Linked DNA regions of Mytilus edulis. The protein of the gene in region 3 purifies or fractionates together with the protein of the main gene of each other region. This does not show direct contact. Links are inferred from orthologs where the notes say so. Each region holds a gene or a part of one and is shown on either strand. Other genes may lie near its edges.

What was found.
Region 1: the proteins of T-complex protein 1 subunit beta-like (region 3) and DDB1- and CUL4-associated factor 7 purify together in Homo sapiens (affinity purification with mass spectrometry; 4 studies listed by BioGRID and IntAct, counting the BioPlex papers as one, with this or other methods). This does not show direct contact. The link is inferred for Mytilus edulis from reciprocal best matches to the Homo sapiens genes CCT2 and DCAF7.
Region 2: the proteins of T-complex protein 1 subunit beta-like (region 3) and regulatory-associated protein of mTOR-like purify together in Homo sapiens (affinity purification with mass spectrometry; 3 studies listed by BioGRID and IntAct, with this or other methods). This does not show direct contact. The link is inferred for Mytilus edulis from reciprocal best matches to the Homo sapiens genes CCT2 and RPTOR.

What each region holds. Positions count from the first base shown.
Region 1 is NC_092350.1:66,547,471-66,551,231, reverse strand, and holds the start of DDB1- and CUL4-associated factor 7, read left to right. Parts: upstream 1-1,211; 5' UTR 1,212-1,362; intron 1,363-3,761. Other genes in the region: PAX-interacting protein 1-like, read right to left, coding at 809-913. UniProt on the Homo sapiens protein: Involved in craniofacial development. Acts upstream of the EDN1 pathway and is required for formation of the upper jaw equivalent, the palatoquadrate. The activity required for EDN1 pathway function differs between the first and second arches.
Region 2 is NC_092352.1:4,900,263-4,904,023, reverse strand, and holds the start of regulatory-associated protein of mTOR-like, read left to right. Parts: upstream 1-1,319; 5' UTR 1,320-1,467; coding exon 1,468-1,617; intron 1,618-3,761. UniProt on the Homo sapiens protein: Component of the mechanistic target of rapamycin complex 1 (mTORC1), an evolutionarily conserved central nutrient sensor that stimulates anabolic reactions and macromolecule biosynthesis to promote cellular biomass generation and growth.
Region 3 is NC_092353.1:27,030,509-27,034,269, reverse strand, and holds the start of T-complex protein 1 subunit beta-like, read left to right. Parts: upstream 1-828; 5' UTR 829-1,002; intron 1,003-1,941; coding exon 1,942-2,019; intron 2,020-3,761. UniProt on the Homo sapiens protein: Component of the chaperonin-containing T-complex (TRiC), a molecular chaperone complex that assists the folding of actin, tubulin and other proteins upon ATP hydrolysis.

The sequences.
Region 1 (3,761 bases), on a different chromosome or scaffold from region 3:
TTTATTCAGTTCACACACAGAATAGCTAAATAAATATTTTCCGTCCAATGGACCTATAAAATTTAACGCATCATTATGACTTTAATATTTAATCGAATCATTAGTCTATAATTGGTTTGTTTATTCAACAGTTGTCTGATGATTGTGAACTAAGGTAATGCCACTCGTAATCACTTAATTCAATCCAATGCTGATTTATTAATGTTCCGTAATATAATATCAGCACTCTTTTATAGAAACGATTCGGCAAATCAAACAACATTTCCTAATTTGAAAAAATTTATGAACTTAAGAAAAACAAAGTTAATATGTATCAGCTTGGGGATCGGCTTGTACCGTTCATGTATGTAACTATTTGTTATTACATGTTACACAAGATGAAACTTGTTAGGATCACAATTATAAGAAAATGCTAATTACTGCTGATTAATGTTGATGTCTAAATTCTTTTATATATGTTTTAATATAATTATAGCCAATAATCTTGAAAACTTGTAATAAAGACATAATCAACCTAGTTGTTTTATACTCATCTAAGGAAAATATTTTTCAAAGGCCTTTTTTAATTTGTTTACCGTACACCTTTAACATTATAATAATAATAATAAACATTTATGAATTACAATTAATATATATTTATTTTTATTCCTTAGAAATATTTTTTTTATTGGGGCCGGATCGACTTTACATATGGGCCGGATCGACGTGGGGCCGGATCGACGTGGGACGGATCGACTTGGGCCGGATCGACGTGGGGCCGGATCGACCCGAAAGCGATAATTTTAGTAAATATTGAATAATTTTGGACCTCTTTTGCAATATCGCCAACGACATAGTATTTGACGTCCTTGAATAGAGCCTCAGGTACGTTTACGGGCTTGTCCATGGATTCTGATCCTTCTAATTCTGTCATTTTCGTTCATTAATTTATTTGGGGCATTTCCCGCTGAATGTTTTTGCTCGCACAAAATAAAACATACAAATATCTTTTAAACGCTTATGACTATGATCATTTATTGTTACATTTACAAGCATTTCATGAACGTCGATCGAAAATCGATTTACGATTATTGTCGTAAATTAAATAATTTTTAATCAAAATTTATTATCAAAAGATATTCATTTAATCTTTAAACAATGTTTGTTCATTCATCAAATTAATTCAGAAGAAATTTCATTTATTTATTCATCAACACTTCAAAACGGAATTTACGATAATCGTAATCCTATTTTTATTGACCAAGAAATTTCCTGTCTAGTGTTTTAAACATCAAAATATGTCATAAATCAGGCAAAATGAATCATTTCTTTACATTCTAATTTGATTTTGTTCTACATATATCATCGATTAACAGTTCATCGGTAATTATATATCTATGTTGCATCAAATAACGTTGGTTTTTACGAATGTTTCATTGTTTACATTTGAAAAGACTTTGTTAAAACATGCATGTGATTTTTACAAATTAACCTTTACTTTAATTAATTGGCACTGGCTATGGTGACATCAAAATGTTACAATAATAAAAAAAGTTATATTTTACAGTCAGGAATTTTCAATGTACTCGTGGTAACTATCATTGTTCAAAATTAAGTGATCACACATTCACCAGTTGATTAATGTCGGCATAGTAAACAATCAAAGAATCGAAATTTTGAGTTGTTTTTTTTAGCTTGGGTGTTAAATTTATAAAAATTGGAATCATGATGGGCGAGTTATCACTTGCAAAATAGTTCTGTCACCGCCTAAGAAAAAAAAGCGTGTTGCTTCGTGCAAATACTAAGAGAAATGGGAGAATGATGTCAAGTACAGGGGCTGGTTGTCTAAATCAACGTTAGGATTGTCACATGCCTTTTGTAAAGTTTGCAACAGAGACTTTAAAGTTGACTACGGTGGCCTTAATGATGTCTTCAAACATTCTAGTACTGCTTGTGATATTGATCTATATAATATATGAGGGTTTGGATGGGGTTAAATGATTAAAGAATATAATGCCCTTAAAAAATGAAGATAAGGGAATAACGGGCAAAAAAAAATGAAAATTGGAGAAATACGTGGTCAAATTTTTTTGAAGATTAGAAAAGAAAGAGGTTAATTTTTTGAAGATTAGAGAAAAAAGGGGTGAAAACTAAATGTTTACAGAACAACAGACACTCCCCCCCCCCACCCCCCATTTCCAGACCCTCATATATTGTTGTTTTTTTTGTTATTAAATTATTAAAATTATTACTTTTTTTTTTATTTCTTGACAATGTATCAGACAAACATAAAGTCATCTTACTGGTGTTTATCTCAACAAAAAGAATACAACAATCAAACAATTTAAAAAAAGATAGGTTATAATAGCATCTTCAACTATCCCCCCCCCCCCCCCCCCAAAAAAAAAAGAAGTATGTCAGACACTTTTAGGAGCCAAATCATCACACGAAAAAATGCCGCGAAAAATTCTACCCTCAAAAATGGTGCCGCGCACAAAAACCCCCATGGCCATTTTCAAAAGTTGGCAGGTATGGGAGACGAAGTCTGAATGATTTTTTTTTTTTTTTTTCAAACATATTTTATTTCAAAACGGAAATACTGTAACGTTTGATTTTTGTTCATTTGTACAATGTTGTAAGGGATTTTAGTTGTGACGTTTATTTCAGTAATGACGTCATATGCAATGTAAACAAAGCAGGGGTGTGGAAACGCTATGCCTGACTCGCCCGACTCGTACATTTGAACAACTGGACAAGTAATTATTTTTGTCTTGGTTGCCCGTGGACAAGTAAAAAAAGACAAAAGTCAAATAACAAAAAAAAGACATAGAATTAATTTCAAAACGTATAAAGATGTTTAATTTATGTAAAAGAAACCAATAATCAGCAAGTAAAAACATCAATGTTCATGACGATAAATATTACATGATACCGGAAATAGATCGATTACCAAAATAAGTAAAAATAAGTAAAAATAAGTATGCGAACCCGAGTCGCATAACATTGCATTGGCTTTGTCCATTGACCCGGGATCGTCGATTAAGTTTGATCCATCATTTACCAGAAGTGATATTTCTTTAAATTTTGTATCGAGATTCAGATTGACAAATACTTAATAAAAAGCTGGGCAAGCAAGACAAATAGAATCATGAGTCGAGTAGAAAAACTTAAATGCAAACGGAGGAAAAAAAAAGGAAGCGAGAATTTCAGACTTCGTGGATATCAGATTGCCCCTGGCTATCTATGGAAATTCGGAAAATAAATTCAGTTTTTGTCTTATTTATAGATGAAAGGTCAACATTATTTGTAGTCAAACTGGTAAATAGAAGGGACGCTTTAATTGTACATCAAGACAATAATAAATAATCAAGAAAAAAACAAGCGTGTCAGTTGAGAGAAACACCACAAAATCAATAGTTGATCTATTATTTAGTTTACATTTCTTCAATCACTGTCCTCAAATTTAGTATATTGTGTACCTACTGGCTACAATTTTTATTCCCAAACTGCTGCAAAATTGTCCTTTACATGTCATTTCATTAGTTGGTTTGCTGTTAGGTGTCTGTCCCCTTGCTGTTAACCCATTTTCTACTTTCCTAATTTTTATGCCCCACCTACGATAGTAGAGGGGCATTATGTTTTCTGGTCTGTGCGTGTGTCCGTCTGTTCATCCGTCCGTCTGTCCGTTCGTCCGTCCGTCTATCCTGCTTCAGGTTAAAGTTTTTGGTCGAGGTAGTTTTTGATGAAGTTGAAGTCCAATCGACTTCAAACTTAGTACACAT
Region 2 (3,761 bases), on a different chromosome or scaffold from region 3:
ACTCTCTTTGTCTCTAAAAATAGCCAAAACTATAGGAAACAAACTGTCAGTGTCAATATATATATATATATACCAACAAATCAAAGCCTCCTCCATCAATGTCTCGGTTAAAAACGACTATAGTGACGTCACAAACAATATTGGATGAATGAAGAGATTTATTACACTGATTTTATTATATTAGTTCAGGGGAGAAATCGAGTCTGGTGAAGAGGAACAATCCTGTACTGGAAATCAACACACTGGCAAAACCCCCCTTTTTTATCAACTCGCCCACATTTACTGTGTCAACTATTATAAGTTATATGGTTTGTTACAGTACTGACCCCCTACGGATCCATAGAGGGTTAGTAAAATCCATGAGGGTTTGGATGGGGTTAAATGATTAAAGAATAATGCCCTTAAAAAATAAAGATTAGAGAATAATGAGCCAAAAAATAGAAGATTAGAGAATAAAAGGGTTAATTTTTGGAAGATTAGAGAAAAAAGGGGTTAATTTTTTAAAGATTAGAGAAAAATGGGGTGAAAATTAAATGTTTACAGAATAACAGACCCCCCCATCCATACCCTCATCCATAGGGGCTGAGGCCATATGCTCACGTACGTCCCAGAAAGGTGGCACTGTATTGTGATTAGTTAAACGGACAGAAAGTCACAGGACAAAAAGTCACAAATTTGGTAGGACAAAAATACATATATTCATTTTTAGTGTAGGAAATGTGTCATTATGCTTGAAAAATTAGGATTTATTTAATTTTAATCATGCAAATGAAAGATTTCTTGGCACTATGATCTTTGATATTTTTTTATAAATATTTGTTAACAAAGTTGGTTTATGTACAAAAGTTCAAGAAAAATACAAAAATATTTTTGTAAAAATAATCGTTTGTTATTCAAAGAAAATAATCAGAAAAAATGAATTGTGACTTTTTGTCCTGCGACTTTTTGTCCTTGACTTTTTGTCTGTGACCTTTTGTCCTGTGACTTTCTGTCCTAAATTCGTGTGATTATTGTGGTCGTTATTTTTTTTCTAAGTAGGACGAGTTGGTAAAGAAGAATGGAGTGGGTTTTTTTACGAACTATAAGTCGATTTGTTGTGGGACGATTTCAAGAAGGACGAGTTGTCGTTGATTCGATTTTTTTACTCATAATTCCCGCCTTTACAACTTGTACTTTCACTTTCGATATCGACCACAAATAGTCTTTAACAATCTTTAACTTTTCGATTTCGAAATGTAATATATCAAAATCTATTTAAAATATAAAAATATTTTACAATATAACGAAAATCGAATGTGATGGAATAAAGCTGTTATATCATACTAAATTAGAGACTACGAATGTAAAAAAGTAAACATGGCCGATGAAAAAAGCATGACACCTTACTCTGTCAAATTTATTCTTTTCCATCACATTGACAGTTTGAGATAATTGCAAATAACATATTTGTAAACCTCTTTATTCAAAATGTCAAGTGATTTTGAACTGACGCCTTTGATTGATGAAGATGATGAGCTGTCCGACTGGAATGTTCTCGTTGCCTTTAACGAACTTCGTCACTGGGAAAAAATTGAAGGGTCAAAGAAAGTTACCCAGACTTGGAGAATGAAAGAAAGGGTGCATATTCCATAATTTAAAGCTGTTCTATCTAAAATGTTCACTTATACCAGCAATTATTTAATTATAGCAATAATAATGGATTCATGATGTTCATTGAAAAAGGCTGTCTTATTTTGTACAACATGTATGGCCAATTTGGATTTTATATGCTATGAGATGAGACTGACACACAAATCCCTGTCTGTTCGCTCCCATTCACGTTCACGCTCAGTCTTGTTCGCACCCTATCACTTTCGCACCCTACACTTTTGCACCCAGAGTCCGTTAGCACTCTACACGTTTGCGCCCAGTTATTTTCATTGGTTTTGTGTTTAATGACTTTGTAATTAAGTTTTGCCAAGTGTATTCCTTTACATATGTACGGTGCAGTCCGGTGTATCCGCGCACCTAAGACTTATGTCTTCACTTCATTTAACTGATAAAACCAATAATTGGATAATATTGTGTGAATACATTCATAACATACTTTTATTTCATAAACTTATCAGTTTGTAGGGTTTCACCCTCAAGATTTTGTGTAATGGGTTTCCAAAATTGGGGAAACCCATTTCTGAGAGTTCCTCCAATGTCCGGTGATTTCGCGCATGCCTTCCAAAAATAGCTTATTTTGAATAGAGGAAAGATTTGCTGCTACAAAAGGTAGCTAAATTCAAACCAAGCACACTGCCAATGATGCAGAGCAAAAATTATTTCAATTTGATAAAAAATTGACTTAACCCTTTCACCGATTGCTGCCCAGACAGAAGCTACTCTGAGACGATAGCTTCCCTGGCTACTTTTACTCAAGTGGGAGATCTTCATAATAAATGTCAATAAAAACTTGTTTGTAGTTATTTGTGTATTTATTTCATTCACTAACACAATGTTCACAGTTTTGTTTATGTTTTGATAATTTTTTTATCATAAAATATTCAAATTTTCAAATTTTCGGCATTATTTATGTGAAATTCTCAAAATTCTGCTCTTTGACCCCAAATCGTAATTTTTTAACTCAAAACGGCAAAATTTTGTAAAAATTTATGAGACTGTACAAATTCCTCACACTGAACGATGTCCATTCCAAGTGTTTTGTACATAAAACGACATTTTATGTCAAAAAAGTATACTAGTTTGGCTTCAATTCTTCCATATTCTTTCAAAAAAAATGTTCCCTCATTTCAAATTCTCGTAAATTCCGTAAATTTCCTTCGATTTTGACAAGGTTTTCAACAAACGGAAGCGACATGTTTACACTTTCATCCGGGTATTCATGAAAGAAAGATAACTCATGTTTGCACTGTTTTGAGCGGGAAATATAAAAGATGTATTCTGATCCCGGTAAAACGGGACTCATCGTCAGCTGTCTGAAGCGTAAATCCCGGTAAACCGGGACTCATCGGCGAAAGGGTTAAGTATAACAAATTTTATCTGATGCTGAATTTCTTTTAATGGCCATTGGCCAAATATTGTAAATCACGGGATTGCAGTTATTATTTCTATCTGGAACTTATCTATTTTATTCTTTTTTCTCCCTTCGGAATGCTAAAACAATAACAAGAACAATTTCATTTGTGTTACGGTGTTGATATAACTATATCAGCAAATGCGCGGTATCACCGGCCGCGCGGACACCGGGGACTCCACTGTATTCCAAGTATAATTTTTTGTCATTGTCTCAAAACTTTGTTTTTATGTTGAATAAATCTTTATGTCTCATCATTTTTTGTGTGTTGAATAAATCTAAATCATGTTTTGGATTGTGTAATGTATTGTTTAAATAAAAAATCAGTTTCTAAATAAAGTGAGATTCTGTCAACGTTTTTTTTTGTTGTTGTGTTGAATAACTCTTTATCATGTTTTGGTTAGTGTATTGCTATAACTTTATATCATTGCTTTAAAATAAACAGATAAAGTGAGATTCTGTTTTTTTTTCAAGTAATAACAATTTATATCTTTCGTGTTTTTCATTTAAAATCTTCAATTTTTTAATCATACCAAGCCTTTAATCATGTTAATACATGCAGTATTTACATCAAAGCAATTTAAAATTGGGCGCGAACGGGCTTTTGGTGGGAATGTGTAGTCCACCAACTGTTTCACTATCCAGTCAACAGTAAACACTGAGGTGTGACAATTAAAGTAGTCCACCAACTGTTTCACTA
Region 3 (3,761 bases):
CCTGCTATGGTCTCAATGACATGTATATTCACTCCTTGTGTATAGTACTCTGCCCCTCCACATCATCTCAATTCATTTTTGCACATATGTGTTGCATTTACCCTTTATTAAATAAGTTAGTACATAAGCATCACACGATGAAACTTTCCTGTGGATAGTATGTTGAAACTGATTTGGATACTAGGGGCTGAATATTTTTTTCGTGCCAAAAAAAATACATATTTAAGATTGTAGGGAGGACCCGTCGATTGTGACATGCGGATATGAGTTCGCCTCTGTACGACATTAAAAAAATCATATAAATTCAAGTTTAATGGACTTTTTACTTACAAAAAAACCTTAGAAGTATTGGAAATTATTAAAATTTATATATTGACTGAAAATGTTTTGAACTCAGAAAAGTATCGATATAGTACAGATATATTTTATGCAACCCATAGAGCATATTAGAGATTTTTTTTTTTACTAATATGACTCACTGTACGGTTCTGAGCCTGTGGTTTTACGAGAGACATGTGTATATATGTCTCTGGGTTTTATATCTTAGAAATAATTTCTATGCATATTTCAGGATATTTGAAGTTATCAGTAACATTATTGTCAGTGGCGGATCCAGAAATGTTCATAAGTGGGGGCCCACTGACTGACCTAAGAGGGGGCCCGCTCCAGTCACGCTTCAATGATTCCCTATATAAGCAACCATTTTTTCCCTGCCCCTATCATATATACCATATCTAACTCCTATATTTCATCTTAAACCATTAAAATATTACGTGGCGCGAATATTAACATTTGCCGGAACATTCCTATATTTGTTTCCGACATTTTGTTTTCTCTGTTAGATTTTTAGAACTGGTGCCCTGTTTTCCTTACAGTTTGGTGTACCTTTACTAGTCAATAAAGTTTCAGTACATACGCGTCTGAACGGGAACATTCTAGAGAAAAGAAACACTACTGACACAATTTTTAGACCAGAAAGGTTTTAGTAAGACTGCAAAAAAGGTAAATGACATATTAGTGCATACAAAAATCTCCGTAAATCATAATTTTAGTCTCCAATTATTAACGAAACGATATCGTTATTTACTTCACATGGTATTTTGGTAACCATGTGGTTTACACCCCCCTTTTATGTCAGAGGTAGTTACTACTGCATATACTTTATCGTTTACGGTGTGGATTGAGTTTAACATGTTCAGATAAAAGATATAGTCCTAATAGATTAATATATCAAAATTATACATTATCATAACCTTAATAAATTAGAAATTAACATTTTTTACAACTCCTCCATGTGTTTATATGTGTTTTTGGGATATTTAGAATGCATTGTGACCATTGAAAAAGCTTAGTACAATTTCATATGTTTACACAAACATATAATCTAATGATAGACAATTAAAACATATCACCTGAATTTAAAATGCCAAAGAAAAAAGTCCGTATATTATCATTGACATTGTGATGGGTTTATGTCCTTAGAACATGTAGACATTGATGTGTAAAGGTAATGTCCACCTAGAAAATTTCAATTAACCTGTATTGACCACTTGATGAGACATTAAAAATCATACTCTTCTGTAGTCCAAATAAATATGATGTCTTGAAAGGCTTTCATACTTTTACTTTATGATTAAATCATGGCGCTTATGCATATGAGGATGTGGGGGATCGAAGGGGTGCTGATCCCAAAATACCTGTCTAAAAACATGTAATCCTGAAGGTCTGAATTTAAAGAAATTTGAATCCTGACATCCCAAAATTTGAAAAAAGAATTCCCAGATCCCGAAAGGATCAATCCTGAAATCCTGAGCTAATAAACACCTGATACCAGAGTCCTGACAAAAGTCAGACTCCCTCTCATACATTTTTGATATATTATACATCCACATGTGTATGTCACTGAATTTACTTTATTATGAAAGAAAACCTTTATTGCAGATGTCGTCATTAGCATTGAACCCTATACAGATTTTCAGCCAAGGAGCTGAAGAAGAGAAGGCAGAAACTGCTAGATTGGTAAGCTCATACTATTTGAGAAATTTCCATGAAAGGATAACTTGTTAACAATATTAAGTTATTAACCCTCTTCCTGCCACTACTTTTATATGGTTGCATTTCCTGTGCCAGAAAATACTACAGATGGATGTTTGTGACATACCCAAAAATGACGTCTATCAATAAACATTGTATGAGCTCACATCTTAAATGAAAGATTCAGCAGATTCAAAGCACCTGTTTTTTTCCATCTCCATTTATTTTTTATATTGAAACTTTAAATAGTTCAATTCAAGTCATTTTTTTCTAATGGCATGTTCAACATATGAAAACTACAGGATTTTGATATTAAAATATATAATTGTCATTAATATTAGAGTTACATTTTTTAAAAAAACTTGAAAGAAGTAAGACATTATTTTAAAAAATTACCATATCATATGGTCATTCATTTGTTTATGCTTTTGTTTAAAATTTTATGTTAAGTTTAGTGCAAACATAAATCATCTACTTTCTTTGACATACATGTATATCAGTCAAGGGTCTAACTTAAATAAGTTATTAGAGAAAATAACATGCATGTTGTTATTGTGGGCTAAATTATCAAAAACTGTGATGACATATATGTATGTTACCTGTTTTAAAGGGAAAATATACAACCTTGATTTTGTAAAATTTTTCTCAAGTTCTATTAATATAATTTTCTTTATGTATACTTATCTTTGCAAAGATATACCAGCTCATAGTTTACTAATCATACATAGTACACCTACATGTATGTTATTACAGAAAATATATTCCAAAGGGTGTTATTACAGCTTCTCTATATCTCTTTAGAGGCTTTGCTCTGACATTCATAACAATGTATTTCAATTCATTGTAAATATGATGATCAGAGCTTTTAATGAGGCACTGCGCAAGATTCCAAGTGTCTCATTTACTCTCATATAGTAAGTTACATGCTTGTAATAACTAAGCCTTGTTATTACAGCTTAGTTTGCCCTTAACGGCCTTGTCTCATTGATTTACCATGGTTGATCAAAATTGTATAAATGGAATTAGAAAATTAGTTATCAAGGTAATATATTAAGCTACTGCGCAAAGTTTTAAGAATTCTCAAGTGCCCATTAAAGATAAAATATATTTAACTGATAACAAACATGTTATTACAGATTAAGGAAAAAAGAGTTATTACAGATTAAGGAAAAAAGAGTAGACAAGTCATGAAAGTTTCTGTAATAACACATGCATGTTATTTTTCTCTGATAACTTATTTAAGTTGGACCCTTGACTGTATTTTGTAATTGAATTTTTGGTTCTTGATAGACACATCAAAATACACCTCAAAATATTTTGAAAAAATCAGATCAGCAATTGTGGTAATATGAGGTAGGCATTACCTGTGAAAGGAGACGAAGTCTGTATGAATTATTTTTTTTAAATTCCAACATATTTTAATTTCAAAATGGAAATACCGATTTTGGTTCTGTTGTTAAGGATTTACTTGTGACGTTATTTAAGTTATGACGACATGTTCAATGTAAACAAAGAAACGCGATCATCAGGTTTATTCATATCAAAGACAAAAGAATTATTAAAAATGAAATTGATGTTGTATTCCTTGAGTTTCTATATATTTTCTAGACTACTCAATAGTTGCATGACACCAAGACCGGAAGAAGGAAGTAGATTTCTGCGTTATGCGCAAATGCGGGAATTAAAAAAAGTGACCAAAAAAAAGTTCACAATTTTGAGTTCATTAG